Caenorhabditis elegans: one gene and its partner. The protein of the gene in region 1 purifies or fractionates together with the protein of each later gene. This does not show direct contact. Each region holds a gene or a part of one and is shown in the gene's direction. Other genes may lie near its edges. The genes, in order: ebax-1 and sax-3.

Region 1 (3,929 bases):
TATATTTCAAATTTAGAATTGTTCGCAATTAAAAACGGGTAAAGCATGAAATATATTTCAGAAATCGAACAAAAATCAGGCTTTTTATTTTCCGAATATCAATTTCAAGCGTTAACCGAAGCGTTGTTATTTAATGACAAAAAATTTTGTTCATTTTAGGTTTTCATTCAAGAAAAGGAAGCAAAATTTAGCATAGCTGAAGACTTTTAATTAGTTTAACTCAAAAGCTACGAGAATAATCAAAAATTTAATAAAAAACCGCGCAAATCATTAGAGGATAATTAAGTTTTAAAACTAAAATGACAAAAAATGACAAAAGAAACAATGAGAAATCAAAACATGTTTCCTCCGTAAATCGACATTGAGTACTGTAGCGATTGGTCTCGCAGCGATGTTAATTTTCTTCTGTACTCCTCTCGGATAAATTTTATTATTATTGAACATGCGTATTAAATCGTTCATTGAACGGAAAATGGAGAGAATCGCAAGAAAAAAAATTATGATGAAAGTGCAAATAATTTAGAAAGGCTATGACACAGGTGATTCGCCGTTATAAAATACTTATGGCCACCAGTATTTTAGATGCAATTTGCAAATCGCTAATCTCGCTGCGGGACCACCAACATTCTAGCAATATATTGCTAATTGCGACTTTTAGTGCAAAATATTTGCTTCATCATATTGCTGATGCCTCAACTACATTCCATAAATATTTAAAAAACCGCGAAACACATGTGTATCTACTGATAAACTACATAAAGAAGTGAAATTTGTTAATAAAATCTTTGCATGAGAATTGTAACTAACTAGGGTAATTGATTTCATTTGGGCTTAAAATTAAACTCAACACATGATGAGTGAACAATTGGGATCGAAGTTTAGATCTAGAGGTTTTCCATCTATAAGTGAGCCGGTTACTAGTGCGATCAGAAGTTGTGAATTTGAAAAAATGTTTTTGATTAATATTAATTTCTCCACCAATTAGTTTCCTTTCAAACTTTTTGTCTTTTCTTCTAATGATCCAATTCCGTATTTTAGCCTACTTTCTGAAAAGTTCAGAAAATCTTTTTGAACTCCTTCTATTTCCTGTATTATGTTTCTAAATTTTTTTGGATTTTTTTTTGAATTACTGGAATGGAGATGTTTTAATAGGTCATTTACATGGTTATGTACAAATATTTTGACCAAATTATGTATTTACTGGGCAATATCACCTCTTTCAATAGGATTCTTTCTTTGTCCTCAAACTTTTCAATTTATGAGACAGAACTGACTGATTGTAATTTTATACCCAACTATGCAAATAGTCAATTCAATCATCTTAATTTATGTGCCAGTGATTCAAAAAAAATTCCAAAAAAATTTCGAATAAATTTTCGAATTGAAAATTTTAACATTACTTTGACCAGAAAGTTTGAAATTTTTTTTTTCAAAATTTTTATTTTGAAAACGTCTTAAAATGTTACCATGTTTATAACGCTTATTAAAAAAAAGATAAGACCTGAAAAAAACTCTTCTGAGTCATTTTATGAATCATTGATTTTTGTGAGAAAATGGCCTGAAGGGAACTTTAGATCTACTTTTTTTTGATTCAAAGTGTCCGCAAGCAGCTAAACTTTTCGTAGTGACTTTTTTTTGGAAAATGTTCTTTCAAATGAAATATGCTTCATTTCAAAGTCCATTAATACGTTGAAATACTTTCCTTGTAAGTTGAAAACTGAAGGTGTATCTTTAAAAATAAACAGCTTCTTGGGTGTTTGTTGTTTCCTAATAAATCTCTTAGATTTCTATGAATCCCTCAAATAAACATTTATTTTTTTCCAGACTTTCGTGTTCTACTCGTGAGTCCACTTCACACCTGCAAACGTTGGTGGTATGCTGCCAAATGCAGTGGGCAACAATGTATGGAACGGCCGCGATGATGTCTCATTTGAGGTTTGATTAATATTGAATATTATGATAATTAAAATAAATATCTTTTAGGATTCTGAGAGATTTGAGGAGGACTCACAAGTTTCACTAGACGAATCACTTGATGGAAATAGTCAGAATTGGAGAGGATGGACAGATTGTCAATCAAATTGTGAAGCAATCCAACCTGGACTTTCTTGTGTTGTTTACCAGCATTACAGTGCATCAGGACGGTTTTCCTCAGCATCAACAAGAACAGTGGTACCCGGGGATCCAAACAATCCATTGAGTCAACATCCAATGATGTCAAGAGGAGATGATTCAATTGGAACTCTGCTCACATTATCGGAAATTTCTGCAAGAGTTTGTGCGGAAAAATGGTCGTTTCAGCAACTTGAAGAAATGTACTCTCATATATGTACTTCGAGAGCAGAGAAACTTGCAATGCCTCCACCAATCTCCACTATTCCTGAGAAGATTTTTCTTTCATTTATAGTTCATTGTTTCCCACAATCTACTGATGAAATTCGAATGTATAGGTTAGTTATTTGCTTCCTTTTTGACAAAATATTTAAATTCTTATTTTTCAGTACTCTTGCCAACGGGTCATCTGAGCAATATGAACTTGGAAAAACCATATATGAATGGGGAAATGTTCGAGATGTCTCACAAACTGGTTTTCTACTCAGTGGTAACATCAGTAACTCAACGCATCCAGATACCCGTCCAATTCAATATGATGATAATTCATCTTTCCATGTAACAGTGAAAGTAGACAGATGTCGGATTGTCGAATGCACCTGTGAATGCTCGAATCGTTCTAGTTGGTGCAAACATGTGGTGGCATTGTCCATCTATCGAATTTACGAAAGGAGCAATATAAAATTCAAGTAAGCACGTACAAATCTCAAAAGATTCTAATTTCATTTTTCAGGGAAACCATAGCCGACGCAATCAATTCAATGAGTGATTTTGATCTTCGACGACTTGTTCAATGGCATATCAATGAGATTCCACGCAAATGTATTCCCGGGTTCCAAAAATTAATTGATCAAATCAAGGATCCACATTCAAATATAAACAATCTCCATGGAGCTCCCGACCCAACGGATGGTGGACATGATCCAGTCTCTCGTTACGATTTCCCAGAAATCGAAAGCAAAATTCGGAGACTTCTGATCAAATATTGTGTGCCAGCTCCCTCTGTTCATTGTGATATACAGTATCTCACCGCAACTCATCATCCTACTCATATTGAGTGGACAACCATGATTAAACCTCTTCGATGTCGTGATCCAGAAGGAATGTGGAATTTATTACAAATGATTCGAGAAATGTTTGCAAGAAACGATGAAAACGCTGTGGCACTGTTGAGAACTGTGACTGATGAGTGTCTATCAAACCATCAAGTTCTTTTATGGTGGTACATTACTAAATTGGTTCAGTCAGGGCATTGGGCTCAGACTTCTTGCTTCAAAGTTCCAAATTCCCAAATGCTCGCCCAACTGAATTGTTCTCAGCTTTGCGATGAAATTGTCATACTCTGGAAGTTGGTGGCACTCAATCCAAGAGCTGGAAAATTATACCGATCACAGCTAGTACCTTACCTTCAAGACTACCATCGAACTGCAGTTAATCGTTTGAAAAATATGATCACTTTGGCTCCACCGATTCCTGCGGAAGTCACTCAAACAACTGATGCTACAGTTCTAAGCAATCACCAAACAGCTGCAATACTCCAGACAATCACAAACATGGATATTAGATACCCTCTGTCATCTCAGAATATGAAGTTCACTCTGAATTGCTTCCCTGGGTTCTATCCAGCAATTCAAATGTGTAACTATCTAAATGAAAAAGATATTCGATTTGGTGTTCCCACTGATGCGATATTCTATGTTGATGCGGTATGTTTTTGTTTTTGAAAAAAAATTATATTCTAAGAATTTTCAGCCAAATCTATCGAACAGTTACAAGATGGTTCCACCTCACAGAGAAAAAGTGTTGAAAAAAAAGAA
Region 2 (3,929 bases), on another chromosome or scaffold:
TCTCACTTTTTTACTTTCCACATTTCCCCACCGTCTGCTTCCCCGCAAAAATCACAGGCTCTTCGAATCTCCCCACCTATTCTTGCGAATTTTATCGGTTCCACTACAAGTGTAACTATTGCTCATTGACAACGTATAGACACAACACGACAGATGTTGTATGACAGGGCCGGGTTTTCCTTCTTCTTCGTCGTCCTCCCGTCCCCCAATCGTTTGCCTCGTTGGTCCATGGGCATAGGTTCGGTCTACAATGGACCTAATGAACGGGTAGTCGAATGTGAGAGGAGGGCGGCCACGAATTGGAATAATTACTTAACCAGGGAAGGGGGCGACGTATAGCCCCGGCTATCCCCTCATATTCCATGCGGTTTCGTTCCGTATCGAGCCGCTTGCATGACATGGACATCCGTCATCGCCGTGCTCTTGACGCGCATTATTTAGGTTATTTATCTGACAATTATGAGCTTTCTGACGACCTTATTGAGTTGAGAGCTTTGATATGTTCTCGAGTACTTTCTTGTCTAGAATAAAGCGTATTGATTTTTCTTATTCGCCCGCCTGTTGCCAGATAGTTTATCTAATCAGTATTATTCAATCGCTGGCACAACATAAATCGATACTTGTCTCACTCCTCTTTGCGCGTTTATCTCCCCGCGCATTGCACACACACCTTGAAGAGGAAATCTGATGTCTAACATTCTGCGTCTACGCCTTCTAGCAATTCGTCTCAACGGTCCTCATTTTAAATGTTCTGCAAATGCATTTGTACTAAATTGTGATTTGTTTCTTTTTGGTTGTTAGAGAAACAATGAAAGCTTTTTGTATGTATAAAAATTTTGAACCATTTGGTGATGTTGAAAATCCGTTTTTCTTTTAATTTCAAGGTATTTTCCTAATTTTGGCCATTTTGCTGTGTTTGAAGTTTTTAATTTCCATGTTCAAATTGTAGCTATAGTTATTTTATTGATACTCTGGCAAAAATCAAATTTCCCAAGTAAAGTAAAACGCCTATATAGACTTGATGAAGTTCTACTTAGATTGAAACTTCAACGGATTCTTACTACAATCTTGCACAACTCCTGCGTAAAATAAAATTTTGCATAGCTTTTCGGGAGTCTTGTGCAGTTTGAAACAACTCCTGCACACTTCCCAATCTGCCACGAACTTAGTACTAAAGATTTTTTATATTTTTTGTCAGAGTAGGTTTCCTTTTTCAAGTTGCCTTTTCACTACACCAAATTTTGATTACGCCTCGCCGCATTTAAGAAAATCCTTTCAAAATCGACTTGTTCATTTTCTTTCATCTTCTATATCCATCCTTCATCCGTCCTTCTGCGCGTCATCTTTAACCAGTCTCACTACGTTTGCCTCCTAACTTTGCGTCCTCATTTTTTTTGTTGCTTGTCTTCCTGCTGGCTACTTTTGCCTCCCGTGCATTTTTTCTTTATTTTTTTTTGTCCAACATCTTCCGTCGCGTAGAAGACTAAATTTGTTCTTCATTCTAGAATGTGGCTCTCTAGTCCAATTTAGGGTCGGCTTCCGTCCGAATCGCTCCACCACCACCACCACCGAAAATGCGCAAAAACGGACGCACAAATCGTCTTCGCGTCTTGAAAACGACGACGACGACGCTCGTCAACTTTTCAATTACTTTGTTGTGTCTTTTCCTTTTTTCCTTCTAAATCTATTCTCCCGAGTGTCACCCTAGCAAAGATGAATGATTACACCCAGGGCCACGCTTTTTTCGCCCTTTTCCATCTTTTTCCCATCACCTATTTTGTCTTGTTTCTCCTTTTATATTCCCTCATTCTCTTTCCGTCATTTTGTCGCCCACTCTTAAAACAACCGCCAATAACTTTGATTACTTTTGTGTTTTTCTTGCAGGTGTCTCCCAACTGGAAATTCAGAACACCGCCACAATTAGATGCAGCCTTTGAAATTGGACACAGATTGAATAAAACAAGATCATGTTCAATCGAAAAACGCTGTTATGCACTATCCTCCTGGTATTGCAAGCAGTAATCCGAAGCTTCTGCGAAGGTTGGTTTTTTTTTTCTAGAAAAAAAATGTTAAGTTAAGAATGTACCAAAAGTGTCAAGTTACATGGTGAAAAAAACGCGTCGCCAACAAGACACGCTATTCGATCCACTCGTGGGTTTTCTTTGAATTCACTTGGAAACTTGGAAAATCCATTAGGTTGGGTTGTATTTCCCATGTCGAAGAAAGCGATTAAAACGAAGATTGACTGAATGCGCGGAAACGAATGCCCTCCATCTTGGAAAAATGCTCTTTACTCGCTGCTTTTTCTACTCTTGCGCTATTAGACATGACTCTTCATTTTGTCAAACACCAAAAGCGGGTTCGCTGCTTGGATTGTGAGCTCGTTTGCCGACTATAGTGTAAAAAGATTCGATTATCGTTTTGGACTGCCATCTGCCCTCTTGGCCGAGCCAAGCCCCGCTTTTGGATGGTAATGTTGAGAAAACAATAGTGAATAGGACGGGGGGAGAATAAATGGTATAGAAAATGAATGAGAGGAGTTAGTCTCATTGAGGCGCGTGTTCTCAAGTATTCACCATTCAAATGCTAATCTCTTAAAACAATAAGTCTTTTTGTACAGCGACCAGAGCCAGTGTAATTTGCAACGAAAATATAAGAAACAGTTGGGAGCGACCACCCGCAGACTCTCGATATTTGTCTTGTTCCACATTTCCACATTTCCACAATGTAATTTGTGCAATGTGCAAGTCATTATTCAATGTGATAAATTGCCCCAACCTGGGTCATTTAAACATTTTAGCACAGTTTTAAGATGCATGCGAATATCCGTAAAATTGAGAATCATTAGCATGCGGTTGATAGAAGATGAGAAGCTATTTGAAATCCCTCCCCAGAGACTAGTAGGTTATTAATGAGCTGTTGGCGCTGTCCAAAATATTCAGTTGCATCTCATGTTTTAGAAAGACAGCCTGCTTTTTAGCAGAAGCTTTCAACACCAATGTGTTGCGAAAGAATGACGGGCGAATTGTGAAATTGGGTGTTGACAGGATGAGATATGTGTACATCTTCACAGCTCTTTGGTTTTGTCTTGCCTATGGATGAAAAGGCGGGCAGGCAGCGTAGTATAATATTTTGAAGGTTAACACGGCCATTAAATTGTAGCCAGAGTACAATACATTGGTTCATGGATAGTTTACTCGCGTGCGCACATTTTGACACTGGCACGCTAGATTGTTGAAAGGTTAAAGAGGTGACAGAAGAGACAGAAGGACAGCCAGGCTAATTAAATTGTTGAATCCGGCAGCTTGTTAGCCACACTTTGGTCTGGTAATTTACTAGTGGAAAACAACAGTGGTCCGTATTTTGAAGTGGAGGAAAACAAGTCGGCCTGCTGAAATTTTTATTAAGTGTGTGCGCAGCAGTGTCAGGGTGAATGCCATAAACAAGTGATTCAAAATGGCTTTTTGATATTTTTTGAAGCAGATGGGAGAAGATGGGTAATCCGTCGGAGGTCAATGGCAATCTTATGTAATAGACCACCGACACCCAATAAACCAGCCGTTAATGTACTATCTAGGTTTTTACCACACTCACACACACACACACACATACATAAATTTTGATAAAATTCCTAGTGAATCATTTTATTACCTACCGTCCGTCAAGGACAATAGTGTCGCACATCTCTACTGAAAAATCGGTGAGGGAAGGTGTTCGTTTCGACACCATAATACAGATGTGACAGTATTGCGCGTGCCGGATCGGTCAGATTGATTTAATGCACTTGGACAAGTTTCCTTTCTTATTCACATTGTCAAGATGGATAAAATCAAAGTGTTGATGTATGTGGAAATAAGATGAATGGGAGATGAGGAAAGTAAAAAAAATTCTAACAGGGGAATGATGTTGTTTTGAACCTTTTCAAATCT

Evidence for each region.
Region 2: the proteins of ebax-1 (region 1) and sax-3 purify together in Caenorhabditis elegans (affinity purification with western blotting, with the first as the bait; one study listed by BioGRID). This does not show direct contact.

What each region holds. Positions count from the first base shown.
Region 1 is NC_003282.8:10,285,131-10,289,059, forward strand, and holds the start of ebax-1 (SWIM-type domain-containing protein), read left to right. Parts: upstream 1-1,824; 5' UTR 1,825-1,875; coding exon 1,876-1,935; intron 1,936-1,983; coding exon 1,984-2,450; intron 2,451-2,501; coding exon 2,502-2,801; intron 2,802-2,845; coding exon 2,846-3,818; intron 3,819-3,864; coding exon 3,865-3,929.
Region 2 is NC_003284.9:3,463,881-3,467,809, reverse strand, and holds the start of sax-3 (Protein sax-3), read left to right. Parts: upstream 1-1,882; 5' UTR 1,883-1,924; coding exon of another isoform or gene 1,925-1,954; 5' UTR 1,955-1,967; coding exon 1,968-2,040; intron 2,041-3,929. UniProt on the Caenorhabditis elegans protein: Required to confine migrating sex myoblasts to the ventral muscle quadrants during their migration through the body and for multiple aspects of sensory, motor, and interneuron axon guidance.